Linked DNA regions of Tamandua tetradactyla. The protein of the gene in region 4 interacts with the protein of the main gene of each other region in a pairwise test. Links are inferred from orthologs where the notes say so. Each region holds a gene or a part of one and is shown on either strand. Other genes may lie near its edges. The genes, in order: C11H19orf44, cilium assembly protein DZIP1L-like, CKS1B and CBY2.

Region 1 (7,800 bases), on a different chromosome or scaffold from region 4:
GAATTTCAGAAAAACCACGAACATTTTAGTCTGAGTGGGTCCCACAAGCTTTTATATTGAAAAATAAGTGTGTTCCAAATATTTTTATACTAAAAATTTATTTAAGCAGGGAATGCAAATTCAACAGGGTATACTGTACTATTATTTACTAAACCTGGCAAATCCTGTATTTAACACTCCTTTCTTTTTTTTTTATTAATTAAAAGAATTTAACAAACAAAACATTAAGATATTCCATTCTACATATATAATCAGTAATTCTTAATATCATCACATACTTGCATATTCATCATTTCTTAGAACATTTGCATCGATTTAGAAAAAGAAATAAAAAGACAACAGAAAAAGAAATAAAACGATAACAGAGAAAAAAAGATTATACATACCATACCCCTTATCCCTTGCTTTCATTTACCACTAGCATTTCAAACTAAATTTATTTTAACATTTGTTCCCCCTATTATTTATTTTTATTCCATATGTTCTACTCTTCTGTTGACGAGGTAGATAAAAGGAGCATCAGACACAAGGTTTTCACATTAACACTCCTTTCGAAGCTGAACTCAAAAATGACTTCGGCAAAGAAAAGTTTTTAATCTAAAGCTGAAGATTTGGTATAAGAATGAATTATGGTTACCATGGTTATTAAGTTTTTATCTTACTGTCCATTGCTCTGACGGGTGAGCTAGTTTGCTTGCTCATTTGCATCTTAAACCATCTAAGCATCGAGAGAGGCCAGCCCAGGCCTGGCCCGCAGCAGTGCTCAGTAGATGGAAAACCACACCTTAAAGAAACATCTGCAAATTCCTAGTCCGGAGTGATACCGGGAAGTTACTGACCTGCTGTGTGTCTCCGTTTTCCTCATCCGTAAAAAGGGAAGAGTGGAAAGATCAAAGGTGAAGGTGGAGTTATACAGAGGTCAGGTTTAACAAATGAGTATGACTGTGAATCATTACGCTCGTATTTCTTTTAGTCTCCAGTATCTTAGAGCAGCTAGAAGTACAAGAGCTTAAAATCGTGGAATTGTAACCGATACCAAACCCTGAAATCTGGTCTACAATCCAAACCCTGAAATCTGGTCTACAACTCATTGTTGCAATGTGCTTTGAAATTTATTTTTTGTATATGCTATTTTTCACACACACAAAAAAAGTCAACGGTGATGATAAATGCTCAAGTATATGGTGATATTGTGAACCACTGATTATACACTTTGGATGATTATGAGTATATAATATATATCAATAAAAAATGAATAATTAAAAAGGATCAAAGGAGAATGTGGAGTTATAAAAGAGAAGATAGGATTTAACAAATGAGTATGACTCATGAATCATTATATTGATGTTTCTTTCAGTCTCTGGTGTCTTGGAGCAGCTGGAAGGAAAAACCTGAAATTGTGGAACTGTAACCCATACCAAACTCTGAAATCTGTTCTATAATTGTGTGCTTTGAAATTTAGTGCTTTTTTGTATGTATGTTATTCTTCACAAAAAAAATAAGCACAAATTAAAAAACCAAAAAAAAGGGGGGGGGGGAGTGGCTATCACATCACCCCTGCAGGGTTTTTATAAGGAGCAAAGGAATTAAAGCAGGTTCTGCGTGGGCCATGGAATGATCACTTAAAGTTAGGCCACGCTTAGGGCACCTGCAAGATGGGGTTGCTTTTAGCTGCAGGGTGTGGTGACAGACAAGCCCCGGCACAGGATTTGGACATACACAGCTCGAAAGAGTGCCAATATCCACCTTTATTAACACCTGTAGCTGAGGCTGAGAATCTAGGCCAGGTTTTCGGGCTTCTAGTTCTCCATAAAGTCCCCCCAGCCTTCAACATAAAGCCAGAGCAAAAGATCTGAGCAGAACGATAACGTGAACGGCCAGTGGGCACATGGAAAGATGGTCAACTTCACTAGCTCTCAGGGAAAGCTAATAAAAACTGCAAGGAGATATTACTGCACAGCTGCCCAGATGGCTAGAATCGAAAAGACAGAGGACAGTCCCTGCTGACCCGGACGTGGGAAAACTGGACCTCCCATGCGGCTGCGGGGGGAGGGGAAGGTAAACCGGGGAGTCCCCGCTTTGGAAGTCTAGCAGTTCCTCAAAAAGTTAAACATGGGGATACCACAGGACCCGGCAGTTCTGCAGGAGAGACATGAAAGCTTCCAGCCACCCAGTACCTGCATGCCAATGTTCCTAAAGGGAGCAGGGAAACCACCCAAACGTGTCTGTCAGCTGAGGAAAGGACGGCAGGCCGTGGTCCATTGGCGATGGAGTATCACTCCGGAATAAACATGGACACTGACACGCCACCTCGTGAATGAGCCGCAAACACATCACGCCGAGTGAAAGAGCCAGATTCAAAACATCACACACCGCCCAGTTCCGCGAACACGCAACGCCCAGAACAGGAGGGTCCACAGAGAGAAAGCAGATCTGCGGTGTGCAGGGGCGGGGGTGGGAGTGGGGGCTGCACAGGGGAGAGGCGAGCTCTCCGGGGCGATGTTAAAAAGTTCCCAAGCTGGATTGTGGCGGTGGCGCCACAACTCTCGAGATTCCAAAAAAACAACCGAATTGCATACTTCAAGCAGGTGAATTTTACAGTATGGGAATTCTCTCAACAGAGCTGCTCAAAATGAAATAAACCGACCTCTGAAAACCCTGGCGCCCCTGAGAGCATCCCGGCTTTTGGCGCGACGAGCCCACACTCCCTGTGGGGGAGGGGGGCCCTAGACGGGGAAATGCCCGGCCGCCGCGCGCCCCGCCCCCGAGCGCGCACCCCTCCCCCCGCCACCCCTCTCCCAAGCCCGAGAGCAAAGCTCTTCCGCCGGGCCCGCAGACCTCTGTCCTCGCTGTCCATCCATGGTGGTCGCTGACACGCTTGGCGGGGCGCAGAGGCCTGAGGACACCGTTGCCCCAGGCAACAGCGCCGGGGAGGAAGAGACTACATCTCCCGGCCTGCACCACGCGCCGGGAGCCAATAGCACAACGGGTCATAATTGCTGGGGATGACGGGATTGGTAGTTCCGGGGCGGGTCCGGCGTGCACAGCGGGGCGGGGGGGGGTTCCAATGGCGCGACAGGTCACAATCGCGGGGTGTGTCGGGAGTTGTAGTTCCGCTGCCCGGCGCGGAGGCCGCAGGGAGCGAGGGGGCGGTTGCGAGAGGAGGCGCCGCCCAGCGGCTATGGCCGCGACTCGCGTCTCGCTCTGGGCCGTGTGCGTGTTGCGCGTGGTCCTGGCCACCGTCTACTTCCAGGAGGAGTTTCTAGACGGAGGTGAAAGGGGCGACGCCCCTCGGGGAGGCGTGCGGACCCCTCCCCCGCCACCAGCTGTCCAGCGGGCGGCCGAGTCGCCGTTGGCCCCGGGCTGGACTTCGCGGGGTCCTGGGCGCGAAGTCTCGAAGCTTCGAAGCCTCGAGGGCCCCTCCCCCTCCCCCTCCCTTCCCCCTCCCGCCACCTCCCCTCCCCTCCTCCTCCCCCCCTCCCCCTTACCCAGAGGGGGCCCCCCTCGGCCCTGACCGGTGTCGTTTCCCCCCTTCCCGCCTCGCAGAGCGTTGGAGGAACCGGTGGGTCCAGTCGACCAACGATTCCCAATTTGGGCATTTTAGGCTCTCGTCGGGAAAGTTTTATGGTCATAAAGAGAAAGACAAAGGTTAGTGTAGAAACCATGCTGAATGCCAAAGCCCCCGTGGCAGCCTTTCCGAGCGAGGTGTGGGGGCGCCCCGACCCCTGCCTGCACCCCCTTTACAGGGAGGAAGACCGAGGCCCGGGGAGGAAGGGTCCTCGTTGCCAGTTTTTTTGTTTCTTCTTTCCTTTCCCAAGAGCATCCTAGTGTTTCGTGACCACTCATCAGCTAGGATGATGGGGACCCGTCTGGCCCCACAGAGGGACTTCCCTGCCGCTTTTTGTTTTCCGCGTTAAAAAAGAAAGAAATCGCTGCCCCACGTGTGTGATGTCAAGTGCACAACTCTTCGGGGTTCGAGTTGATGGGTGTTCGCCCCTGTGTGGCCACGGGAGAGGCATCCCTTGTGTCCCTCTCGCAGTTGGCCCCTTTCACCTGCAGCAAGGATAAACTCATTTCTGGTGGTTTTCACCCAAGGTCGGCAATAACCAGCTTGCCTGTCACCTGTTTTTGTACAGCCAGTGAGCCGAGAGTGGTTTTCACATGTTTTTTTAATTGTCGGGGGGAAGAAAAGATCAAAAGGAGGGTGGTATTTTGTGACATGCAGAAATCATGTGAAGGTCAAAGAAATGCATGAAATTTTAGCACCCGTAAAGTCTTTCTGAACACAGCCACATCGTGTGCTTACATGTCTGGGGCTGATTTTCTCACTATAGAGGCAGAGTCCAGGAATTGACCCACAGAGTCTAAGGGGCTACTGGCTGACCCTTTACAGAGAAAGTTTGCCAACCTGTGCTGTAGATGAAAAGTTTTCCCTCTTCTCCACCTTCTGTTCAACCACTGTCTCACCCTGTTATTGCAACGCTGCCCTGTTCTGGCAGCCTCTAGCTTTGGGTGGTATAGGCATTGTTTTGTAAGGTATGCATTGACCTGAATAGCTGGTAAAAGTTGAGGCCATGTAGTAAATAAAGGTGGGATGAAAACTGACAGGTTATTTGATGGAACTTGTCAAGGGAGAGAGGTTTCCATGTAATCTCCTCTGAGTTGTTTCTGTGTCTGTTTTTCACACCCCCCCCCCCCTTTTCTAACATGAAGCCTTTGAGATTCTGTGCATTGTGTTCATTTGTTCGGCATATGGCTGTTGCTGTCAGACACAGGCAAAGCACTTGGGATACCCAGTTAATTTGGTCCCTTCCCTCGTCATCTCCTGGGACCGTGACATTGAAGCCGTGAATCCCAAGATGAGTGAAATTTATCCAGACAGGGATGGGAGGTGGAGAGAGCAAGAGGAGGGTGGCTGCACAACAGGAGAAGGCTGCAAATCAGCTGGCTTGGGAATTGCCTGGGTGGTGCGAGTATGGGAGAGGCTGGGGCTATGGACTCCCTTAGAAACAGAGGGAAGAGGGGTGCCGGTGCGGGGAACACAGTCCTGAGGTTTTGACATAACGAGACAAAACCCCGAGTTCATTTCTGATTTCTCAGCATAGGCAGGTATAGGGGTAAGGCAGGGCATGGAGCAAGGAGGGGTGGACGGAAGGAAGAATGGCTCCACATTCTGACAAGCTCCGGTCTAAGAGAGGGATTTGAAACAGTTCCTAGTGGCTACTGAGAAAGGAAGTTTTTGTTTTGAAGTGAATGCCTAAATTTAGAAAGCACATACTTGGTTATTTGTGCAACAAAACAGATGAGAGCTTGCAGGGGTCTACCCTAGGGCGGTGGGCATTTGAGTACCCACCAGCCACCCCGGGTTTCATGTTCTCATTGGCTCCCCTGTTTCTTAAGTAGCTGTTTGAAGATTGAGAACTGGAGGAAAGGAATAGAACGTTCTGTTTTTCACCCAGCTACCACACAAGCCTCCGGTGTATGTTCTCATGGTCAGGAAGAAGAAAGGGGCCGAATTAACCTCAGGCCCATAGTTAGATGTGTACTTGTCATTTAGAATTGGAGTGTGTTTGTCACTTAAAACACTGCAGTGCTCTGTGAAGGGGAAAAACATCCCTGGCGTGAAGTAGAAGTTCCTTGAGAGCAGAGGGCTGGCTGGTGGTGGTGTCTGAGTTCCCTGTCGCACTGGACTAACTGTTTCTCTCTGGGGTCTGGGGCACCACATCCGTGTACCTTCCCTGCCTCTCTGGGCACAATGCCACTCCCTATCTATCATTAGTACTTTCTGCTTCAAGGTCTGCAAACCACCCAGAATGGCCGATTCTACGCCATCTCTGCCCGCTTCAAGCCATTTAGCAACAAAGGGAAGACGCTGGTCATTCAGTACACGGTGAAGCACGAGCAGAAGATGGACTGCGGTGGCGGCTACCTCAAGGTCTTCCCTGCAGACCTGGACCAGAAGAACCTGAACGGGAAGTCCCCATACTACATCATGTTTGGTGAGTGGTCATGTGGGCAGCACAGCCCCGGCCGCTGTCGGTGGGTGCCCTTCCACCCAGGCCCTCATTAGACCACGGTTTGCTGACGTGGTGTGAGGTCTGTTGGGTGGGTTCAGTCTGTCTGACCTGAGGTTTTTAACACCATTAAATCTAGTTAATTTCATGAGAAGGCAACTGTGCCATTCTCTTGTGCTGTGAAAAAGTTGTTTATCCAGTTTTGGCACAATCCCAAATGCATTGAATTTATCGGGAGGGTGACTGCTGCTCACTGTAAACTGTTTGTCGTACAGCTCGTGTTCCAAAGCTGCTTTTTACATTTTTAAATGGCCTTGGAAAAGTCCAAAGTAGGCTAACATTTTGTGCCACGTAAAAATGAGATGAAATTGGCATTTCAGTGTCTTTGGCCAAGGTCACTTTTTAAAAAAAAAATTAATTAATAGATTTTTAATTAAAAAAATATGACAAGAAACACATTCTTAACATATGATCATTCTGTTCTGCATACTAATCAGTAATTCACAATATCATCACATAGTTCCATATTCATCATCATGATCATTTCTTAGAACATTTGCATTAATTCAGAGAAAGAAAGAAAAAGACAACAGAAAAAAGTTCTTACATACCATACCTCTCCCTTTCATTGATCACTAGCATTTCAATTTAAGTTTATTTTAACATTTATTCCCCCTATTATTCATCTTTATTCCATATGTTTTATTCATCTGTTGACAAAGTAGATAAGACACAAGGTTTTCACAATCACACAGTCACATTGTGAAAGCTCTATCATTATACAATTATCTTCAAGAAACATGGCTACTGGAACACAGCTCTACATTTTCAGACAGTTCTCTCCAGCCTCTCCACTACAACATGACTAACAAGATGATAACTATATAATGCATAAGAATAACCTCCAGGATAACCTCTTGACTCTGTTTGAAATCTCTCAGCCATTGACACTTTATTTTGTCTCATTTCACTCTTTCCCCTTTTGGTGGAGAAGGTTTTCTCAATCCCTTGGTGCTGAGTCTCAGTTCATTCTAGGATTTCTGTCCCACATTGCCAGGAAGGTCCACACCCCTGGGAGTCATATCACCACGTAGACGGGGGAGGGTGGTGAGATTGCTTGTGTTGGCTGAGAGAGAGAGAGGCCACATCTGAGCAACAAAAGAGGTTCTCTTGGGGGTGACTCTTACGCCTAATTTTAAGTAGGCTTAGCCTGTTCTTTGTGGGGTTAAGTTTCATATGAACAACCCCCAAGATTTGGGGGCTCAGCCTATAGCTTTGGTTGTCTGCACTGCCAAGCTTACTTCTTGACATGTCATCGTGGCTGCTTGGGAGCCAGGTTGGCTGATGTCACCACAGTGACCATCTAGTCCACAGAGCTGAAAATACTTACCTGGCTCTTTACAGAAAAAGTTGGTCTACCCTTGGGAAATTAAATAGTCTCTCCCCGTATCTAGGGTAATTGATTAATATCTCACTGAAATCATACCTCAGTGGGCCATGTGAAACAGGTGTGACCAAAGAGTGTAGGTTCTTCTTCCCCAAAGAAGCTCTTCAGGAGCAAGTGTATTTTTAAGTGTCCTTTCATCATCCCAAATTGGGGAATGGTCCTTTAAAATTCTTTTCTCTCACCTCCTGATGTGGGTAGCTTCAGGACATTTCTCCCTCACACATTCTCTGTGAATTTATCATAGTCAGCCTCTGGCTTTGGATGCCTGGTTAGGCTGACTCATGTTTCTCTAGCCTGTGGGTCATGATGTTATTTAGAATCAGAAGAAGAGATAATAGC
Region 2 (7,182 bases), on a different chromosome or scaffold from region 4:
ATAATCAGGGGTATACACACAGATTTACACACAAGAATGCTCAACATCATGTGATTTAAAGTAGACAAATAAAGTAGACATATATTTAACAGGAGGAAACTATGAAATAAATTATGATAGCCACATGAGGGAACACCATACAGCCATTAAAAATCCTATTTGCAAAAATGATTCAGTGACGATGGAAAATGTGATACATCCTTAAATGAAAATAAGCAATAGTCAAAATTGCATACTAAATGTTTATACAGATATAAAGAAAAAACTGACAGAGAATACACCAAAATATTAACCACTGGTAATATCATGCATGATTTTTTATTTTCTCTTTTCTATACTTCTGTATTTAAATTTCCTATATCAAAGACATATGTTTATCAGAAAAAAATTATTTAACAAATGGGAAATGTTTTTCCTTAGCAGCCTCGAATGAAGCTCCAAAAAGTATTAGATACATAATAAATGCATCATAATTAAATAAATGCTACTATTTGAAAATATTAAACCTGTTCTTTGAAAGGGGAGTTAAAAGATGGGGAATAAGAAAAATGGGGATTTTTATATTTAGCTATTTTAACAGATATTTCTTGTTGAACCTCAAAAAAAAGGTCCACAGATCTTTTTCGCATACCTCTTTTGGCAAAAAGCATGCCAAAACTTGAAATGGTAATATTAAAATGATGAAGTCATGATAATATACTCGAGTAAATAGAAAAATCAAAAAGCTGGTCAGTGGCTCATTTACGCTCCTTGCCAGTAGTCTCAGACAACGCCAGGTGCGCAGGGGGCTGGGAGGAAAGGGACCTCTGAGCAGGGGTCCGGCTGCCCCTATTCTCAGCAGAGGCCCCTGAGACCCCAAGGGGGAAGCCACGGCCAAGGTCCCACAATAGACAGGGACAAAACCGAGACGACACCACCTCGCCATCCACCTTCCCTGCCCGCGGCCAGACACGCTCCCCAGCCCCACACGCGCACATCACGTCCTCAACAGGCCGAGGAGGCTCAGACCCCGGGCTGCAGGTGCCTCCACCCACGGGAGACCAGCTCCGGGCCCGCCCCCGCCCCAGGGTGCCACCAGCGCTCACCGCCGTCGGCCGAGCCCGCGTGCCTACGCTGGATGTGGCCCCGCAGGAAGGTGGCGTTCATGAACGTCTTGTCACACAGGTGGCACTGCACAGAGAGGAAACAGGGGGGGCCACAGGATTAGCCTGGCCCAGTCGGCCCGGAGTCCTCCCCACCCCTCAGGCCCCCTGAGCCACTTGGGAAATGGAGCTGACCGACTGAGCCCAGCGAGTCCCCCATCCGAGCTGCACACCAGACTCACCTGGAGCTTTAAAACTACCCATGCCCTGGGGAACCAAGACCACCGGCTGGATATTTGATGATGGTGACAAAGTTTTGTGGATGAGGTTAGAGTTTTGTTGGCTTTTGGTGCGGTTGATGGTATTATGCTTAAAAGTGGAAGTTCTTGCTTTTTCAGAGATACATACTGAAATATCTATAGATGAAATCATATGACAAATATGCCTCAAAATAATCCAGGGGTGGGAGAGAGTGGATAGAGGAACAAACAAAATATCAGCCAAGAGTTGGTGAGTGGCTGGGTGGTGTGCAGATAAAGGTTCATTGTGACTTTCTCTCTATCACTGTGTTTAAAATTTTCCATAGTAGAAAGTTTTAAAATATGCCCAAGCCCCATCCCAGGGTGAAAAAACACCAGAGGCAGAGACAGCAAATAAATAACATCTGTAATTCCACTTCCGTTTCCTAAATGCATGTCAGTCACTGCATATTATCTTTCCATTGTAAAACTTCAGAGGAAAACTTTGCAGGTTGCCACAGCCAATCAATCAGAGTAAGAGGGCAGAGTAAAGTGAAGTCTATTTGCTATCTTTGCACAAAGGCAATGGAACAGACTCTGCCAGTTGGCGTCCCCAAATGCATTTTCCCCTTCCTTTGTAACAGAAACCTTGATTTTTAGCAAGTCATGATGTCACTGAAAATAAAGACTTTACGTCCCAGTCTCTCTTGCAACCATGTAAGCCATGTAACTAAATTACACAGAGGAAGAAGAGCCAAGAGCTGCAGAGCAAGAAACTCGATTCTGCAGCCATATCTGATTCCTGGGGCAAGCCACACCTGACACCCACCAAACCTTTTCAGTTAAAATCAACCAATAAATTTCCTATGGGCCTAAACCAGGTTAGAGTGCTGAAAGGGTTCTAACCCTTTGTAAGGTAATTAACTCTATCTTACAGCAGTTATATCAATTATCATTCTATCAATTAACATTCTATCATAATGATTCCTTCTGTCCCACCTACCCCCAAACTATACATTTCTTGAAGGCCCAAACCAGCTGAGGGCTGCACTCTGAACAAGGAGAAGCCTCACAGAGGCCTCGGGGCTGGTGCGGCAGGGGAGGTGGGGGGGAGCGTAAGTGGGGGGTGACCGCCTGGCTGGGACACGCCGCCCGCCCCTGCGGGGTCCCGCGGAGGCTCCGCACCGGGTGGCAGCCGTGGGCGCCGGTCTGCAGGAGCAGCTGCTGCAGGGCGCTGATCATCTTGCGGCGCCGGCGGCTCTCCTCGCGCACACCCTTGAGCTCATCGGCCCGGCGGCCCAGCTCCTGCTGGCCACGCTCCTGCTGGCCCAGACTGGCCTGCAGCCGCGCCTCCAGCTGGGCCACGCCGGCGCTCAGGCAGTCCTGGCAGTGCAGCAGGTACTCGATGGTCAGCTGCGCCAGGCGCAGCACCTTGAGCAGCGCGGGGTCCACGGGCTGCCCGCAGCGGCTGCATGCCTCCCGGTCCAGGCTGCAGAAGGTGACGCCGGCGATGTTCTCCTGCAGGGTGGCCACGTCCAGCTCCCGCGCCACGCGCTCCACGTCCAGGGCACTAATGCGCCGCCAGTCCACACTCTCGCGGCGCGGCTGGAACTTGAAGGCGGGCGGGGTGTAGGCCCCGAAGGGGGGCCCGCCGAGGCCCTGGGCAGCGACGGCGGCGGGCTGCATGGGCGGGGTAAGACGGCTGTCCCCGAGGCCACGGCAGCAGGAACGCGAGCGGCGGCAAGGCCTGGGGAAGAGAAGTGAGTCCCAGTGAGGCCAGGACGGGTGGCTGCAGGGGCTGCCGGCGCTGCACTCCTGCCCAGCCAGCGCCCCGGTGGGGCGAGCCAGGTGTCTGCAAGCAGCTGTAGAGTGTCTGCACGTGCCAGTGTGGCCGAATCTGCGGAGAAGAACGGGGCGGGACTGCGTGAATAAAGTATGAAGTACTGTGTGCCACTATGGAAAAGAATAAGGCAGCATTACACACAGTGACATGGAATTATCTCTGAAATACGTTGCATGAAAAAGAGAAGATATAGAACAAGGTGTGTGTATGTGTATATATATATTTTTTCCTATTTTTAATGATCTATTTATATGATCACATTTAACAATAACTCACAAAATAAAGAATGCATACATATATAAACATGCACATTCGAATGGTTTTATACAAGGGAGAAGAGAAATGGGAGTGTGAAATGGGAATAAATAAATTAGCAGATGGATGATGTGGGGGTGGGAGATGGGTGGATGGATAGACAGATGCACAGACAAAAAAGACAGACGGACATGATAGGCCTTTCACAGGCCAACGACACAATGCTATAACGAACAGGACTAACTCAGCCCTCTGTACAGCACATCTGTATTCCACATCATAAAAGAAATACATGACAGGTGCTCTGTATTTTCTGCATACTTTTCTGGGGTAAACGTATAGCTACTCCAAAAAGAAAAATGTTTTTAAAATAAAAACAATATCTAATCCTTAACTAAAAGAAATACATGTACGCATATGTTATTTATATTTATCATTCATATATAATATGTAATCAAACTTGTATAAAATATATTTATTTATTATTCATTATATTATTTTTATTTTATTTTATTTCCAGACTATTTCTGGAAAGAGACCACAAGCTGTTCACTATAATTACTGCTGGAAAATAGAAATAGAGGTCAGAAGACCTTTACTTTGCACTTTCCACTTCTCAGTACTATTAAAGTCACTTCTCATCATCATCTGTTACTTTCATCTTTTTTAAAAGAAAAAAATATATACAATTTCTGCCACTGAAGAACTTAGAATCTGACTGGGGCAACAAGAGGTACACAACACCCTGTCTAATCAAGTTCTTTCTAGATTATGTGATTCAGACTTTTCTGTACAATGGAAAGTTAGAGAAGAGAAAGATCATTGACCTCATGAAAGAGAAAAAGGACTCAGGGAACCATCAGGTTTGCAAAGAGAGGCAGGCCCTCAGCAGCACGCCTGGCCCCAGCCGTCTTGCTGTCTACACCTGTGAAAGGTGGCGTTCAGCCTGCCCTGCCCGCCCCCAGGCCCCTGGGAGGGTGGCAGAAGTGAGGGGGAAATCCCTCACTAATAATACCGGCCAATATGCAGGGGTGCCAGCCTCTGTGCTGGGCCCTAATGCCAAATACAAACCTACAGGCAGGTATTATCATGCCAGTTTACAAACCAGGATACTGAGGTCCGGAGCACTTAAGTGGCTTGCCCCAGGTAAGAAAGGCACAACTGAAGTACAATTGCAGGTACATCTGGCTCCAAAGCTGGATTTGAATCACCCAACATTAATTTTGAGGGCTATTTATCCTAAATTTTTGCTTTGGTCAGATGATCACATTTCATCCCTCAAATCTCCAATGCATCCTTTTACTCACTGCCCTCCCATTTGCTGCATGGCCATGTGTGCTGGGCCCAGTGGTGGGTGCTGGGGCTCCCCAAGTGTATTACGCACACCCCATCCCCCACCGCAGAGCTCAGCGTGTTTGGTTGGCACAGTACCAAATCCAAACCCCTTAGCCTGGTCTTAAAGCCCACCCATAGGACCCCACCCACCCAGCTTTTCAGCTTCAGCTCCCATCCTTCCCCTCCCTGATACTCGCCCCCAACATGTACCCCAAAACACAAATACGCAGCCACAAAAATATGCAGCCACAAGCACCCCACCACGGCCACAAAAGGAAGACCGGCACGCTCCAATGTAACGGGCCAGGTGGAGGGAAACAGGGGGCAGGTGACAGGATACTCACCATGCCCGGCTCCAAGCTGCAACCGCGTCACCCAAGCCTCGGCGACAATTGCTCACAACACACCGTGCCCAGAGCAACAGCGAGTCATCAGGGAGGCGGTGGACAAGGGTAACAGGACACCCACCTCCTGTCCTCCCACAGGCTCCGAGCTGGCCCGAGGACCGCCACTGCTTAACTCTTTAAGCTCTGGCCTCAGATGTTTGCCAACAGCCCTCTCCCAGTTATAAGGCAAAGCACTCTCCAGCCACTCTCTCTCAGCTCTCCCATCCTTTGACTGCTCCTTCCAGCCAGTTCCCTCGGTTACCATCCCTTCCCAATTCTTTAAGGCAGCATAGGCTAGTGTCCCCCAATATTCTGCTGTTCACCCATGTCCCCCACCCCAGAGCTCAGCATGGCTTGTTGCCACAGTATCAAATCCAAACCCCTTAGCCTGGTCTTAAAGCCCTCTGCCTGGGGGTGAGCCCACACATACCCACAGCCTCGGCTAACCGCAGCCTGCCCAAGGCTGAGCCTCAGCCTCCCAAGCGCACGCTCCCTGCCCCATCAGTCCTGACCATCTCTCTCTTAGGGCTACGGATCCAATACTAATTATACCAGAAACTGCAAACCCAAATGCCACAGGGGCCAGAAAAGTAACATTAAGTGAGTGAAACAGGCTTGTCACAGAATGAGCTTGATGAGAAATAGCAACTGCTTCCTCCGCTCCTGTCCAAGGTCAAGTAAAGCCGTGGTTCTCAAAGTGTGGGCCCAAGACCAGCAGCATCAGTGTCGCCTGGGAACTTGTTAGAAATGCAGGTTCTCACCTCAGACTTACTGATTCTGAAACACTGCAGTAGGGAGTGTTGGCATAGGAAGTGTTGGGGACTGTGACAAACTGGAGGGCATATGTCCTTAAAAGGGGCAGCCACAATATGACAAAGGGCATATATGAAAAAACCCAAAGCTAGCATTGTACTCAGTGGTGAGAGACTGAAAGCTTTCCTTCCCTCTAAGATTGGGAACAAGACAAGGATGCCCTCTGTCACCACTATTCTTCAACATTGTGCTAGAGGGAGGAGCGTGGGTGCTGCCTGCCTGGCCAGAGGCGCCCGGGCTTTCTCTCTCCTCCTTCCTCCACATGGCCAGCGACAAGGGTTCCTTCGGCTCACCACTGCATCCACCACAGATTGGCTCCCTGCCTCCTCAACTTCCTTCAGGGACACATAAAGGAACTATCCCGGGTGGCAGTCAACCAAATCCTCCTGCATCATTATCATCACCTGCCTTCCTCACCAGATTCCTACAGCCAGCCTCCCCACTCCCCTGGCCATGACGGTTCCAGCCTATAACCCCACGTCGCCCCATTACAGCAGGAAGTAGCCAGAAAGATCTCGGCGCCCTATTATCACAAAAAGGCTGGAATGTTAGGTCGGGGGAACGGGGAAGGGCACTGCAGCTGGAGCTGCGGAGGCTGTGTCACCCCTCCCAACCTGACTTCCGGAACTAATGAACTGCCCCTTCCAGATGTCACCAGACCTCCATCCTTAAAAGCTGCCCGCGCTGAAGCCCACATGCACACTCACCTCCCTCCATCTTGGGTTTGCTAAGTGAATGCCCATTGATGCTTACAGAAGAAACTGCTGGCATCGGAAGCTGGAAGCAATGAAACCGGGAACCAGAACCAGGAGGAAGACATGAGGGCAAGGACACAAATGGACATTTGCACACCAGTGTTTATAGCAGCATGATTTACAACTGTGAAGAGATGGAAACAGCCAAAATGTCCATCAACAAAAGAGTGGCTAAACAAACTGTGGTATATGCATATGATGGAATATTATGCAGCTGTAAGACAAACTAAAGTTATGAAGTATGTAATAACATGGATGGACCTTAAGGACATTATGCTGAGTGAGATTAGCCAGAAACAAAAGGACAAACACTGTATGGTCTCACTGATGTGAACTGACATTAGTGAACAAACCTGGAGAATTTCATTGGTAACAGAAACCATTAGGAGATAGAAATAGGGTAAGATACTGGATAATTGGAGCTGAAAGGATACAGATTGTGCAACAGGACTAATTATAAAAACTCAGAAATGG
Region 3 (7,253 bases), about 110 Mb from region 4:
TTTGGCTTCTTGGGTAGTGGCCTCCGGAACAGTAAAATGTGAGGTTCTGAAAGAGGGGTGAAATCTTAAGAGACAAGTTTATACCATTCTGTGCACAACTTAGTTTATCTCATGCTGTCCCATGGCCACCTCCCAGCTTTCACCCACTTAGATCTTTAACTAAATTAAGATTTAAGCATATGGCTCTAGAAGCAGACCCAGAGGCAATTCTGCCAAGTACAGAATGGTTAATAATCCTTTTGCTGTGTTTGTACAGCCCTGGGATGTCCCTTATTAGTTTTGCCTGGCAGCTGGGTGTCTGGTGTCTTATCAACAAATATATTTTTCTTGGCTTATTTGGAACACATCCAAAAATCGGCTTTCTAGTGGAGAATGAAACAGGGCCATAACCTCTACCAGGGTATAGCTGGCCTTAAAGAGTATTCTCTGTTGAATGAATTAAAAATTAAAAGGAGATTTCTTCAGTGACAGGTTGTCTCTGAACTTCATGGATATTTTACTCTTATTTTTATTTTTGGTCACTCTAGTTTTTCTAGATAGGTGATGGAGGGGAAAGAGCCAGTAAATCATGCTCTCCTTCCCCCATTTCTTTGGGCAGCACACTTACTATTCCTTCGTTCTCTCAGTGTACCAGCCCTATACAGATGCTTTTAGCTGTTCCACTGACCTGGTTCATGGATCATATAATGGACCCATCCCTGACTTTGCTGAACACCAAGATTCCTCCATTCCGATTCAGACATCAAATGGGTTTTAGGGACCAGCTTGGCTATGTCCTTGGGCAACATGACATGCCTGTAAGAGAAACAAGGGAAGGCAGGGAATTTGTGTCAGCACTGTGAACAGTCTGTTAAAACAAGTGCCTGCAAACAAAGCCAAGAGAGGAGAGAAAAGAGAAACCAGTTTCTGAAGTCAGGAGTTTATACATTCCTTATTGTATATAGAGGGCTAGGGCCAGCTATGAATCCAGCCTAAGTTAGGTAAATCCTCACAAAAGTACCTTATAAATAATTTAAATGGATGAGCACTTAAGTCTCACGTACTGATACATTGTCCCTGCCTTCATCATGCTTACAGTCTTCTCATTGATTACCCATAACATAATGAAAGCCCCACAACAAACATTAATAATTAAGTTGGGTTTTGAACAGGTTTGGTAAAGGGAGAGCAATTTTGTGGAGCAGAAAGGCCCATTATGTATTGCTGTGTAGAAAAGCCACCACAAAGAGTGAAATGGAAATATCTTATCTTTTAAAGTCTATTCCAAATCATTTTCCTTATTCTGAAATAAGGATATGCCATGAGACTTCTTTTGGGAAACTCCATGCTTCCCTAGCCAGGGAAAAATCTCTTTTCATGACAGAAAAATTATTACTCTGAGCTTGAACCAGGCTAACCTGGGTAGACTTCATTATGTTCAGTGAAAATGTACTAAATGCTCCCTCTGTGCTAGTAAGAGGTTTTTTCCCAGAGATAATTCTAGTGTAGATGTCTGAAAATAGCTTACATTCTAACAAGCTTCTGCCACAAAGTTTGGCTTCAGTACATAATTTAACAAAAACCTCTTAAACCAAATTACCTTTGCCAAGCTAAGAGTTACATCTCCCAAAGGATGAAACTAGTGACTTCTCCCTGCAAAGATGTTATAAGTATCTAGTTTCAGTTAGTTTAGTTCAGATGTAGAGGTGTTTAGCTGAGGAAAAGAAAGTTAATTGCATCCGAGAAGGGCTTGGGGTTGTTTTACCAAGGACCTAGCATGAAAATGGTTATTTGTCAACACACACAGAATTTTCCAAAGTATACTCAGAGCCAGGCATTAGGCCAGGTGAAGAGACAAGACAAAAAGCAAGTTTCCATTTTATACTCTCCAATTGAGACAATATGCAAACAGAAAGTTGTCTTAATTATTACAATTAATACAGATTAGTAGAATGTTAACAATTGTAGAATCCTCTGTCTTTCCTCATTTTCCAATCTAGAATTATGGATTTATCAAATCTTAACTGTGCATACAATCCAGGGATTCCTTCTTTGCCAACCGTGGTAGACGACTAACCAGCAACTTGATTCTGAGGCACTTTCTCCTTCCTAATCTTTTCCTTGAGTCCATCTCAGGCAGTTTTCTCGAGGAAGCGTTCCCAGACCTACCAATTTCCTTGGCTGGTTTTATAAATCCCACCACACCCTGTACACATCTCTATCATATCATATAAGTGTATCTTCCACAGATTTTAAGTTCATTGAATGCAGAGACAACGTCTTATATTAACCTTGCATCTTAGCAGGACACCTGAAACCTGTAAGTACTCGTAATTGTTTCCTGAACAGATGCCCTTCAAATATCTAAAGTTTTTATTAGACTCATCTTAAACCTTTTCTCTTAGCCAATTTGTTCCACCTCGCAGCCCCCTTCCAAAATAAGCCAGATTTGGACCCTCTCAGGCCTCTCCTCACATTGAGGACACTAGAAAACCTCCAATTCCGCTTTTGCCAACTTCTCCCCGCAGGCATTCTGGTCCTAGACGGTTTGCCCAACAAAGTTGAGAGAATACTCCAGAAACCTGCAAAGGTGATGGGGGGTTGGGAGGTCAGGGACCGAAACACACACTCTAAGCCACGCCTCCTCTCAAGAGTCCAAATTCGCAACCAATTTATCTGTTCCCGAGCGCGCCCGACGCGTTGCGCATGCGCTTCACGCCCTCCACGCTCTCACAGCACTCCCGTTAAACCCCAGCGCATGCGCCGAATCTGTCGCCTCAGTTCTCATTACTAACGCCTCGTGTTCTCACTTGTCAAGGCTCACGACCACGTTACGGCCCCCGCGCCGGCACTAACCGGTACTCGAACTCCTCGTCGTCGTATTTGTCCGAATAGTAAATTTGTTTGTGCGACATGATGGCTCTGACTGAGGGCCCCCAGCCCGGCGCAGCCAAGCTCCAAACAACTCCCAGCAGCACGCGCTCCCACCCTCCTTGGCCTCGCTTTCAAACACACCGCCCGCACTTCCTATTGGCTTGTTTGGCTCAAGGCGGGACAGCTCCACCTTCAAGCCTCTGATTGGCTTAGATTTCTTCTCCTCGAGTCTTTATTGGAGCGCAGTATCCTACGTTTCTCTAGAACGAGCGTGGGACAAAAATAGGCCTCCTATTGGCTATCGCTGCGCTTGTGCTCGCTCTCGCACTGCTATTGGCTGATTTACGAAAGTGGGCGGGGCGAAGGAGAGACAGTGAGGTAGAGGGTCAGGGGTTAGTGAGGCCGGAAGTAGGTGCAATAAAGTTTCTCCAGGGAGGCCTGGCCCGGGGAGAAAGTTGGAGCGGCGACCTAGAGAGGCAGTGTGGCGTAATCCGGAACCACATCGGCCCGCGGTGCGGTGCGGAGACTCCATGAGGCCCTGGTGAGTCTTGACTTCTTTTCTTCTTAGGTGACCCACACCTCCACCCCGGAACCCCTCTCCCGGGACCCCACTTCCGGTCTCCCCTTTCAAGTCCCGCCCCCTAAGACCCCCTTCCCGGAAGTCCCACCTCTCAACTTCAGGGGGGGCTCCCCGAACCCCGATTTGTTTTCCATCTATTGTTCCTGACCCCACCCTGTCGCCAGCTTTATTGGAAGTCCCACCCCCAGACATGCTTCCAATCCCTACTACTAGAAACCCTTCGTTTGTCCTTTCAACTGTCTGAACTTCCGCCTCCTCTGGACGATTCTCCGCTAACTCTGTCTGTCAAAAGACCTATCTCCCAGAAGGGCCGAGCCCTGCCCCTCCAGGAACTATTCGAATTAATTGAAGCCACGCCTCTCTAGGGGCTCCACCCCTCCAGAAGCCACACCTCTCCCTTAATCTGCGTTTGATGGTGTAGAAACCTTGGCTCTCGGTAGTATCTGCTGCACGCATTTTAGGGGCCACGCCCCCACAGGAACTTTATTCCTGTAGGACCCAGGTCACCACCTCAGAGGCTTTGTCTTTGATTCCAGACGCTGTACATTAATACTTACATTTCCCCTCCCTTTCTGTCTTCTGAGCTTTGGACTCAGCTTTCCTGAGCTCTCTCATGCCCCACTGAGTGGGAAGACAAGTTCCCATCTTTCGTCCGAGGAGTAAGAGAGGCAGCCCCTCACCCCCTTCCAGTGGTGGACCGACTTGAAGAGGGACTTGGGGTCTGGTACGAGAGTAGGACAGAGATTTGCTTGTAGATGCCAAGCCCCACTCCTTTAGTTTCTCTTTCCAGGACCGACTCCACCCCAGGAAGAGCTGAATGTCATAACCTGCACTTCGCGAGCTGGGGAGGGCTGTGGATTCAGTGGTGTGCAGCGTGTGGGTGTGACGGGAGTGAGGGTTTTCTGTCACCTGAGAATGCGGGTTTGGAGTGGGGGCTGAGAGCAGTTTACCTGGTGGTGGTTGATTATTTTAAGGGACTCCTCGGTTCCCACCACTTCTCTGGCTCTTCCCCTCCCCCTAGCCGGAGTTCTTGTCTGGGCATTCCTCCTGGTCCCGCTTGCCTAGCCTTCCCGGCTGGAAACATTCCTGAGGCTTTCACCATTTCCTGCTACTTTCCTCCCAGCTTGCCTCCTCCCTGCTGGGCTGAGAAGCCAGACACAACGTCCCCACACCCAACCACCTGGGCTCCCAGTAGGCATTTTTCTTTCTTTCTATGCAAATTTAGAGCCAAAGTTCCTCTTTCTTTTCTTCCAAATGCCCACACCTGTTGGTTGCTCCCGACCTCTGGCAGCCACAGAATGGCTGTCTTGAAAGATGAGGATATCCTACTGTGTGTTGAATGTGTGAGTCTGAGGAATCCCTTCTTCATTTTCTCTAGACCTGAGAGCTGAGGTCTTAGGAGACGGAGTGATAGAATTCTTTCTCTGGAGTGGTGGCTGGGGTGACAAACTCTCCTGGGATGAGGGCTAATGGGAGGTGAAAGAGTTTAGCACAGTGTCTCACATGTTTTAAGTGCTAATATTGTTGATCATTTTTTTACCCTCTGAAGTAAATTTCAGGTTAGGGTAATTCCAAGGTGAGCTGGGGGTATGTGTCTTTTACTTCTTGTTTTTTGGTGGCTTCCTAAGTTACTCTGTTGCTCCCTTAAGCACAGTTGTGGTGAGAAGCTGTGGGTGGAAGGAATGGGTTTGAGACTTCCTTGTGTCCAGCCTCAGCCTGTCTTCTTCTGGCCTCCTTTTTTTTCTGTAGATTTTAAGACAAATCTGTCTTCTACTTTTTCTGTCCTTTAGTGGCCCATAGCTCCCATTTCACTTGGAAAACTGATCCACTCTCCCATCCGTCCCCTGGTGTGGAGGACACTGTGCTCTATGATGAACCCCTGCCCCTTCCCCAGTTACTGCTGGGGGTGGGGGGGAGGAGGGGTACAGGAGTACACCTGATGGATCCAGGGAGTTGACTTTCAAGTTAGTGCTCTGGCTCTCAGTTCTTAGCCTTGACAGCATTCTTTGCTGACTAGCCTGTGGGAAGAGGGGCAGGACTGTGCCTGGCATGTAGGTGCCATGCATAGGAAACAAGGCTCGACTAGCCTGTCCTCTTGTTCCAGCTGTCACCTCCAGCTTTATCCCCTTCACTTCACCAGTTTTGCCTTTCCTCTTGGCCCCTCTGTGCATCCACTGGGACCACTTCTTTCCCTTCCCCATTTTTCTAGCTCCAGTCCCCAGCTGTTGTGGCAGAGAAAGCTAATGGCTCAGGCTCCCTGGGGCCACCTTGACTGTGTGTGGTAGTGGTGGGGAGGTGGCCGGGGTTGGAGGATGGGGGAATGTGAGCATTCAACCAGGACTAGAAGGGAAGTGCTGAGCTCAGGGATCCCACCCTCAGCTGCCTCTGTTTCCTCTCTCATTGCTACCCCCCACCCTCCCATCCTGGCTTCCTGCACCCCCTGGCCTGCCCATGTCCTGTTTGGACTGATCCAGACATGCTCTCATTTCCCTCCTTTCCTTCCCACTTCTCCATCTTTCCCTTTAGCCCACAACCCGCACTTTACTCCTCTCTGGTGGGGTCGGGAGAAGGGGCTTAGATATCTCTACTCCTGCAAGGGTTCTAAGTCGGGGCTGCGGTGGGGGCTCAGCCCCTCTGAGCCTGTGAGTCAGCACTGTCCTCGCGATTGGTCTCTCCTCTTTGCTCCCGCCCCTGGGGAGGAGCCAGGCAGCTCTGGGTCCAGCCTGTTCTCTTCTCGCCAGAAGAGAGGCTCCACGTTGGGCGGGGATGGGCCCTGAAACTGTCTGGGTCTGAGCTGGGGGAGCAAAAGCCGCCTATCCCTCTCCCTCCAGGACTCCTGGGACTCTTAGACCATAGCGGTCTCACCAGGCTAAGGGCCTGGGATGCCCCTTGCCTGGCCCCCTTGCCCTGACTGGCAGGGGGGCCGGGCTGGGCAGCAGCCCCCTTCGCACCCCAGCCATGGATCTCTTGCCCCCTAAGCCCAAGTACAACCCACTTCGGAATGAGTCTCTGTCATCGCTGGAGGAGGGGGCTTCAGGGTCCTCGCCCCCGGAGGAGCTGCCTTCCCCTTCAGCCTCGTCCTTGGGACCCATCCTGCCACCTTTGCCTGTGGACGATAGTCCCACCACCCTGTGCTCCTTCTTTCCCCGGATGAGCAACCTGAAGCTGGCCAACCCGGCTGGGGGGCGCCTGGGACCGAGGGGGGAGCCAGAAAGGGCAGCTGAGGATGGGGAGGGGATCGTAGGGGCAGCCATTCCAGACTCAGGCCCCCTGCCCCTCCTCCAGGACATGAACAAGCTGAGTGGAGGCGGCGGGCGCAGGACTCGGGTGGAAGGGGGCCAGCTGGGGGGCGAGGAGTGGACCCGCCACGGGAGCTTTGTCAATAAGCCCACGCGGGGCTGGCTGCATCCCAACGACAAAGTCATGGGACCTGGGGTTTCCTACTTGGTTCGGGTGAGTGAACATCCTCCCTTCTCCTCCCTCCCAGACCCATTCCAGTTTCTCTGCTTATTCCTGCTTCGCTGGAATCTCTTTTCCTGCCATTCCCCAATAACCCCTTCCTTGAGGGCTCTGTTCCTGTGTCTGCTTTCCTTTCTTACACCTTTCTTGCCCCTTCTCCGTTTCTGTAGCTGCTTCCTTCCAGGTCTCCCTAGGGCCCTTTCTCTTGACTCCCCAACCCCTACCCTGCCATGCTTAGCACAATGCCCAGCACATGGGGGGCCCTTAGTAGGTGTGGGAAGGAGCCTCGATTCTCCCCTCCAGTCTCCTCCCTCTTCCAGAAGATGTCACTCCTTTGTCTCCACCCCATCCCTTGCCTGTC
Region 4 (7,611 bases):
AAGGTAAATGTGACTGATGTTAATAGAACTACAACGCGAACAGTAAAGAGGATAAAGAAGATGTCACACATGGTAGCTTTGGCTAGCTGTTTTGACACAGAACCTAAAATCTTCATCGCAACAATTACTCAGTTTGGCAGAGCTCCAAGTACTCTCAATGGGCTTCCACAGTTTCTCAAGAACAAGCCCAAACTAAGGGACACTGAGGTATGAGGGGGCATTGCAGCGTGCTGTGGGAGCTCATTCTGATCTGGCCTAGCCCCTTCGTTAATGATCTAGGAGTAAACAAAGCCCTAATGAAATTCACAGATATGGCTCATTGGGGAAATGTGGAGAATGCCCACGAGAACTGAATCGTTAGGTACACAAGGAACTGAGAGGTGAGCCAGCTCGGGCAGCAAAAAACAGCAGTGGCTTGCAAGTTGCTGTGCTGGAGGGAAACACAAATATTTAACGTGCGGAAGAAAAACTGGAAATCGGTAAGACCTGAAAAGACCTCAGGGTGATAACAAATATGCTTCAATGGCATTTGCAATGTAATTGAGAAGGCTGAACGCCCAGCATGATTAGGAGCTGGGAGGCCAGACACACTTTCTGGATGAGCAGAACTGCTGCAGCATTTCCTCCCAGTAAAGCAAACACATTCAGTTCTTGAGTAGAGCAGCAAGTCGCAGATGTATGCGTGGAAGTCTGTAGGAGCAGTTAAAATGGTAGAAGAGGAGGTACTGTCTCCTAAAAGCAAGGGTAGAATCTCAGGGCTGAAGCAGGACCTGGCTGAGGGATCAAACCCTGGGGTTCCCTGGGATTCCTGGGAATTCCAGTTCCCACACCAATAAAATATCTACCTCCCACCCGCCTGGCCCCGTGATCACGTAACCAGATTAGTGCTCAATCTAGTTTCCCAGATGAGTCCTTTTGCCCAAAACTGACACCAACTCATTTTCTGTAACAAACACTCAAAGTATTTTGGGGAGGTAGAGTGAGCATGCAGGTCCCTCTCACAGCCCCAGGGGTAGAAGCTGCTATTGATTTGAAGATACAGCTGCCCACACCCCTGCTCCAGAGCTCATGCCTAGAGCACCCAGCAGGTATCTGAAACGTGGCTTGTGCCCTCTCTGTAAGTCCTGCAGTCAAGGAGATGAGCAGCTCCAGAATAAACTGGAGCCCTTTCCCCAATCTCATTATCACATGACCACTACAATGCTTTCAAATCCAATTCCCACACCCCCTCACTCCCTCTACCCATCCCTTAGTAATGCTGAATGATTTACTGGGACTGAAAGAACCAAAGGAATTCAAGGCAGGAACTACACATGACTTTCAAGTGGAATGAATTAGCCCTAAAACAAAATTCCCACACTTTGTAGGAATACTATTGGTAAGTCATCCTGGCCAGTGACCAAGAGTAAGTTACATTCCAGAGTTGAGCTTCATGAGCTGAAATGGATGTTCATTACAAAATGATAAGGCCCATGTAAAAAGAAATATCCAGAATATTTTCTTGCTCTACATTTTTCCCACCTGCTGAACACATGTGTAAATTGTTACAATTACCTCCATCTACAGAAACAATGCTGCAAGTTTCTCTCTCTAAATGTGTTGTTCTGAAAATTCTGAGGAAAGAGGTAGCATTAAGAAAGAAACAAGTGAGGACGTCCATTGGCCGTGGGATCTTCCTCTCCTACCTTCCCTGACAGTATTCAGGTAGTTACCTTTTCATTTGATTCTTCCACCCTACATTTCAGCCCCTCTGGCTGCACAGACATGGTCTTCAAGCTGGGTCTTAGGTAAGTCTGGAGATGCAAGGCTGACCTTTGTGACATAGCAGCATGTGGAAACAGCCCAATCAAGAGGACTCCACCAAGGAAACAGCTGCTTAGCAGATGGAGACCTGGACATCTCAGGTCTTTCAGGACTTGACCAACTGATCTGCCTCTCTTCTGAATCCCTCTGGAAAACACATCCACCTCCCTTAAGCCCTCTGTCTTGGGTATGTAACAGAGCTTAATTTTCTTAACAACTCCAAATGACCTGGTCCCCTTGATGTGTGTACTAGATTTTCTTCTCATGGATGACTTCATATGATTTGATTCTGAGACCTGTCTCAAATCTGACCCCAAGAAATCAGAGTGGTGGCCCAATGGCAAACACCAACAAATTTCATTTAGAGAAGGTTGGGTCATTTCAAAGTACAAGAGAAGCTGGAAATGTTAGTGCTAGAAGGTCTTAATGGGCTTCCCAGCACCCTCATTTGAAGGAAGATGAACCCAAGGTCCAGAGTGGCTAAGTGGCCTCTCCCAGGCACACAGCTGGTTGGAAGCTGCCCTGGAAGTAGAACCTCAGACCTTGACTACTCTGCTTGTTCCACAACATCATGCTAGAGTTTTGAAGGAGAAGAGCTATTCTGGCTAAAACTGACGGGTTACGTCCTTCTGTGATAATCTCTACCTGAGGTAGAAACACACTGATTGGAATTTCTAGGCTTTCAGATCTGGGATCTCTTTGTCTTGTAAAATTTGGACTTAATAGAAAAGAGAAAATAAAATGATTTCTGCTTCCCAGCCCATCCTCTGGGCAGCAGTTGTTAACCTGAAAAGCACAGGACTTTCTGCTCATTTATTGCCCTGCTGTCAGTCATCTGCATTATGAACATCTGAGTCTGAAGGAACGTGTGCATGATATCTGATAAGATGCTTTATCCATCTCTGAGCAGAAATTAAGATGTAAAAGCGTTCCAAAAACCTTTGAAGCAGGGAGAACTATGCCTACTTCTTGGTCTGAAATTAGTATGTCTATCTCAAGAATAAAAGCCATACCAACGTGAGGTGCCAGGTATAGGTCCTATGCAGAAGTTGGTCACCAAAACACTCAGAACATTCCAGAGGTGACATCACAAAACAATACGGTGTTTTTCAGCGCTCATGGTTTCCTGTGAGCGTCACAGGTGGCAGTGAGGCATCTGAGCAGCAGGAAGAGCTCAGCCCTGGCTGTGTCTGCAGGCCGGTCACGGTCAGTGTGACACACAATAGCCCAAGCACCAGCCCCCTGTTTGGTCACCCCAGCCAGGGTGACTCACATCCCCTGCCAGGCTGAGCTGAGACCCCTTTCCTCTCTCTAGAGGTGGGTGTCTTCTACTCGGAGTTGGGTTACTAAGAAGGAAGAAACCCAAAGTGAACTCTGCCTGGATCACGGAAGGAAATGTAGAAACCAAGTCGCGGCCACGCTGCTGGTATTAGGGCTTCATGAACAGGGCAGCTCAGACCCTCTGACCTCAGTTCTGTCAAATCAGTTGCCCCTCTCTAGGATCTGTTCGTGGGAACCCTCCTGATTATTCTTATAACATAAGAATAATCTCTTCTTAGCCAGAGAGTCCCGATTCCACATTATTATGCAATTTTCAGGGAAAAAGAGTGGTGGGTCAGGGTCAGCAAGGCCAGAGACACTATAACTGCTGTCTGAAGTTTCCCACACCCCATCACAAGCAAGTTTTTTTTAAGAAAATCCAATGTGCAAAAATTAAAGAATATACTTATGGTAAAATCCAGAGGGTAATCAATTGCATTGTCAAACTTTACTCATTTTGCAAGGAAACTTGTCTTGGGTTCTTTTAAGCAGTTCACTGTCAGATTGCCTAAAAACACATTTCAGCTGTATACATATTTTCACAATATACATTAAAAGCAGAGAAGCCAGAACAAGAATATTCACCTATGTATCCACCTTAAGTGGAGCTATAAAAATCAGGAAATGTGGCACTGATATAAAGTTATAGTCTATATTCCAAGTTTTTCATATGTCCCAATAATGCCCTTTTGGGCCTTTTATCCTCCATGTTAGATCCAGTCCAGGTGACATAGTGCATTTAGTTGTTTTTGTCTCTTTAGTTTCTCTTGTTCTTAGAAAGATACAGGGATGTGTTTGGTATTCAAGGAGTATGATGTATACAATCTACTCTCAAATATTTAGAAAACAGATGAAAAGATGGAGGGGGTAGATAGAATGATACAAAAAATGTGGCAAAATGTTCAAAATTGTTGGATCTGGGTATCTGAGTAAAGGGTACGCTGGAATTCTCTGTTTGGATTTTGCATTATTTTTGCAACTATCCTATAAGCCTGAAATTATTTCAAAATAAAAAGTTTATTAAAAAGAATGCAGACCCAAGGGCAATGTGATGTCACCAGTGCCCAGAGATCCTCATGGGGCTGTGTGGTCAAGGGGTCATGTTTTTCGGCAGGCCCTGCTCTTTGTGGTCTCCCACCTTCCTCCCCTCTGCCATGGTCCTTTGCCTTTTTCTGCCTAAAGCCTGATTCTGGGTGAAGGGATAGTGCCAGATCCTTTCACGTCCCACAATGAAACGCGCTGCCCCACCATATCTATGGGTGATGAAGACCCTCAGGATGAAACTTTGGCTCCCTCTCCAGTTTTGTCAAAGGCCATCCCCAACCTGTCTTGGGAAGGGGCATTGCTAAAGGAAAGAATGGGAATGTATCCACAAACTGCCCTGTTTCCTTAGCTGTGATTTAGAGTCCCAGGGCTGTCCTACCCAGAGCAGTTTCTCAGGTATGGGGGTGTACCACAACAAGATGGCTTTAAACTACAAAAATTTGCTCTCTCACAATTCTGGAGATCAGGGTGAGTTCTTCCTGGATGCTTCCGGTGGCTGCCAATGATCCTTGGTGTTCCTTGGCTCGTAGAGCAAACTCCGCCTCAGTCTTCCCATCTCCTTCTCTTGCATCTTCTCCCCTTTTTGCCCCTCTAAGGACACTTGCATTGGACTTAGGGCCCACCCTAACCCAGGATAATCTTGAGATCCTTCACTTAACTGCATCTGCAATGACCCTTTTGCAAAGATCTATCTTTGAGGGGAGGGCCACAATTCAACACACAACGACATGGAAAGAGCTCTTCTTACTGAACCTAAAAGAATAAATGAGGCTCCAGGTAGAAAGGTCTGGATGCCGGCATCATGCAAATCTGGGGCCCAATAAACAGTTACTTACTGGGTGACATGGGTAAGGTCCATGGCCTATTAGAAGCTTCAGTTTCCTCATCTTTAAAATGGGGAGGTTACATTTAAGCATAAGGTTCCAGGCACATAGTATGTTCTCCATAAAGAATGTTTTGTTGCCCTCACATAGCTCATTGCCTTGCTCCCTTTGACTCAAAAATTTCAGTCAGCTAATATACAATTGGTGTTGCTGTTAAAAGGTGTGAAAAGTCAATGCTTAAATCGCAGGGAGTTTTATTTGGGTTGATAGTAAAGTCTGGGTAATGGATGGTGGTAATGGAAGCACAGCAGTGTGAACATAATTAGCAGCACTGAATTATGTATGTGAATACGGTTCAAGGAAAAGTTTTAGGTTTGTATACATGTTATTAGAACAAAAATTTTTTAAAAATCCATAAGACTGTACAATACAGTCAGTGAATCCTATTGTAAATGATGAACTAGTTATTATTACAATTATAAAAATATTGATAAAAGGGCGGGCCGCGGTGGCTCAGCGGGCAAAGTGCTTGCCTGCTATGCCGGAGGACCTCGGTTCGATTCCCGGCCCCAGCCCATGTAACAAAAAACGGAAAAACAAAATACAATAAAACAAGAAAATGTTTAAAGATGTTTCCCTTTCTACCTTCCTTCCTTCCTTCTATCCTTCCTTCCTTCTCTCTGTCTTTCCTTTAAAAAAAAAAAAAAAAAAAAAAAAAAAAAAAAATATTGATAAAAATGTTTTTTCATGATTGTAACAAAGGTACTAATGCAACGTGTTAATAATAGGGTGATCTGTGGGAACCCTGTTATTCTATGCATGATTTTTATGTACACCTACAACCTCTCTAATTAAACAAAAACATTTTTTTAAAGGCATAACCCTGCAGCTTGTGTGGCATCTTGTTTGTTTGGTTGATTCAATTGTATTTAGTTTTTAACAGGAGGAGCATTTCAGTTGGGCCAACCTGCAACCAGCATCTCCAGTTGCACATTAGCTGGGTTCCTTCCTCTTCTGCAGGACACAAGCATCCATAACCTAGTGCTCAGAAGCTTCCTTCAGATGGTGCCCAAAAATGCCTGCTATTACTCAGATTAACATGGTCATCAATCATCCACGTTCAGTGAACAACCACAATTGGCCGCTAAGCAGGGCATGGAGGTAGACATGACTTGTGGGGTTTTAATCTAAACAGACAGGTTAGGCAGCAAGAGGAAAGGGCAGGCAGGCATCCGAGACTCTCCAGACTTCCCTAGCCTGTGACTTTCTGAAGATGAACCACACAAGGAAATACAGCCAGCAGGAGGGTCTGTTAAAGAGGGTGGGACCTCTGCCCTTCCCCAGAGGGATAAAGGAATAAAAGCTCTTGGAACTGGATTCCAAGGCGTGCATGGGGTTTCCATTTTAACCTTTCTTTCCTTTTCAGTTGTGAAAGTAGGGAAGGAAAGGGGGCATTGTAAATATCATGATGCTTACAACCTCCAAATTGCAGGAAGTGATTAGGAAAATTTATTTTTGCTATGTAGGACAGAAGCTAGGTGTCATCTGGAGCTGGAGAAGCAGCCCAAGTAGAGTGAGAACTTGGGCAAAACTGCTCCCAGAAAAGGCCAACACCCCTTATCTTCTTTTGATACAGAAGGCAGCAGCCAGGGAGTCCATTGAAAGAGTTGGAAAGCCTGTGGGGCAACAAATAAAGATCACCTATTGGAAAAGTCTGGGAGTGGAAGGAAGTAGGAAAATAGGATGACAGCTGTCAAGGGGTGACTATGTGAGATGAACAGTTGTTATAAAAGAAACACTCACATTCACAGAATTATCAAAATAACCACTGGAGGTGGATGACACTGGCAAGTGGAATAGTTGGTACTCCCAGTTCAGATTCAGCCAGGAGAGTAAGTCTTGGTGAAGTCAGAGAAGAGGCTATGCACAGGATGGGCTCCACTGAGAAACATCCAAACCTGGGGGCTCTAGAACTTTGTGCGATTACAGAACTTTCATTCTTGACTCTAGAAACAAACAGAAATTTCCCCAAAGTCTTGACATTTTCTAAATATTATTTAATTTACTCACTTAAGCCAAGAGTAAAGTGCAATCAAAAGACTTCCGATGGAGAAGACTTTCAGTCTTCTAAGACATGTTCTTTCATTTTGGAAAAATTCAAGTGAGGTAACTGGGGACGTCTTGGTAACTGTCTCCCTCTGAAATGAATATTGGTCATGGGAGGGCACACCAAAAGCCCTGGAAATGGACACTCACAAATGAAGAGGCAGGCACAGCTCTACTCCACTCCACTCTAGACTGACAGGGCCAAAATTGAAGGCTTTGTTTATTAAGACAGCTGTAATCATGATTTATGCGACTCTGTACATTTTACTCTAACCAAAATTAAAAGTCATCAAATTAGTTAAGTGTGTAATCCCCTAAATTAATTGTCCATTAGAAGCTCTTTAATGATAATGGAATGCTTACCAAATAATTTGTGACCTCTGAATAGTACCTAATAAATTGACTAAAGTATTCTTCAAGAAGTAAGAAAAGTCCTCAGTGAGTTATAATGAGTTCAGTTCTCCAAAAAGTGGGTCTAAGACTGGACTTGCACTGCCCTGAGGAAGGACAATCT

What was found.
Region 1: the proteins of CBY2 (region 4) and C11H19orf44 interact in binary tests that used the Homo sapiens proteins (3 or more experiments, as listed by UniProt). The two-hybrid records come from large-scale screens. The link is inferred for Tamandua tetradactyla from reciprocal best matches to the Homo sapiens genes CBY2 and C19orf44.
Region 2: the proteins of CBY2 (region 4) and cilium assembly protein DZIP1L-like interact in binary tests that used the Homo sapiens proteins (3 or more experiments, as listed by UniProt). The two-hybrid records come from large-scale screens. The link is inferred for Tamandua tetradactyla from reciprocal best matches to the Homo sapiens genes CBY2 and DZIP1L.
Region 3: the proteins of CBY2 (region 4) and CKS1B interact in binary tests that used the Homo sapiens proteins (3 or more experiments, as listed by UniProt). The two-hybrid records come from large-scale screens. The link is inferred for Tamandua tetradactyla from reciprocal best matches to the Homo sapiens genes CBY2 and CKS1B.

The regions. Positions count from the first base shown.
Region 1 is NC_135337.1:95,050,871-95,058,670, reverse strand, and holds the start of C11H19orf44 (uncharacterized protein C19orf44 homolog), read right to left. Parts: upstream 3,020-7,800; 5' UTR 2,862-3,019; coding exon 2,839-2,861; intron 1-2,838. Other genes in the region: CALR3 (calreticulin-3), read left to right, coding at 3,182-3,272, 3,547-3,648, 5,796-5,999.
Region 2 is NC_135341.1:82,033,294-82,040,475, forward strand, and holds the start of cilium assembly protein DZIP1L-like, read right to left. Parts: upstream 3,016-7,182; 5' UTR 3,008-3,015; coding exon 2,507-3,007; intron 1,171-2,506; coding exon 1,086-1,170; intron 1-1,085. UniProt on the Homo sapiens protein: Involved in primary cilium formation. Probably acts as a transition zone protein required for localization of PKD1/PC1 and PKD2/PC2 to the ciliary membrane.
Region 3 is NC_135330.1:7,960,800-7,968,052, reverse strand, and holds the start of CKS1B (cyclin-dependent kinases regulatory subunit 1), read right to left. Parts: upstream 3,004-7,253; 5' UTR 2,895-3,003; coding exon 2,836-2,894; intron 796-2,835; coding exon 668-795; intron 47-667; coding exon 1-46. Other genes in the region: SHC1 (SHC-transforming protein 1), read left to right, coding at 4,189-4,776, 6,719-6,886.
Region 4 is NC_135330.1:112,977,051-112,984,661, forward strand, and holds the start of CBY2 (protein chibby homolog 2), read right to left. Parts: upstream 3,019-7,611; 5' UTR 2,892-3,018; coding exon 2,817-2,891; intron 1,707-2,816; exon of another isoform or gene 1,561-1,706; coding exon of another isoform or gene 1,555-1,560; intron 1-1,554.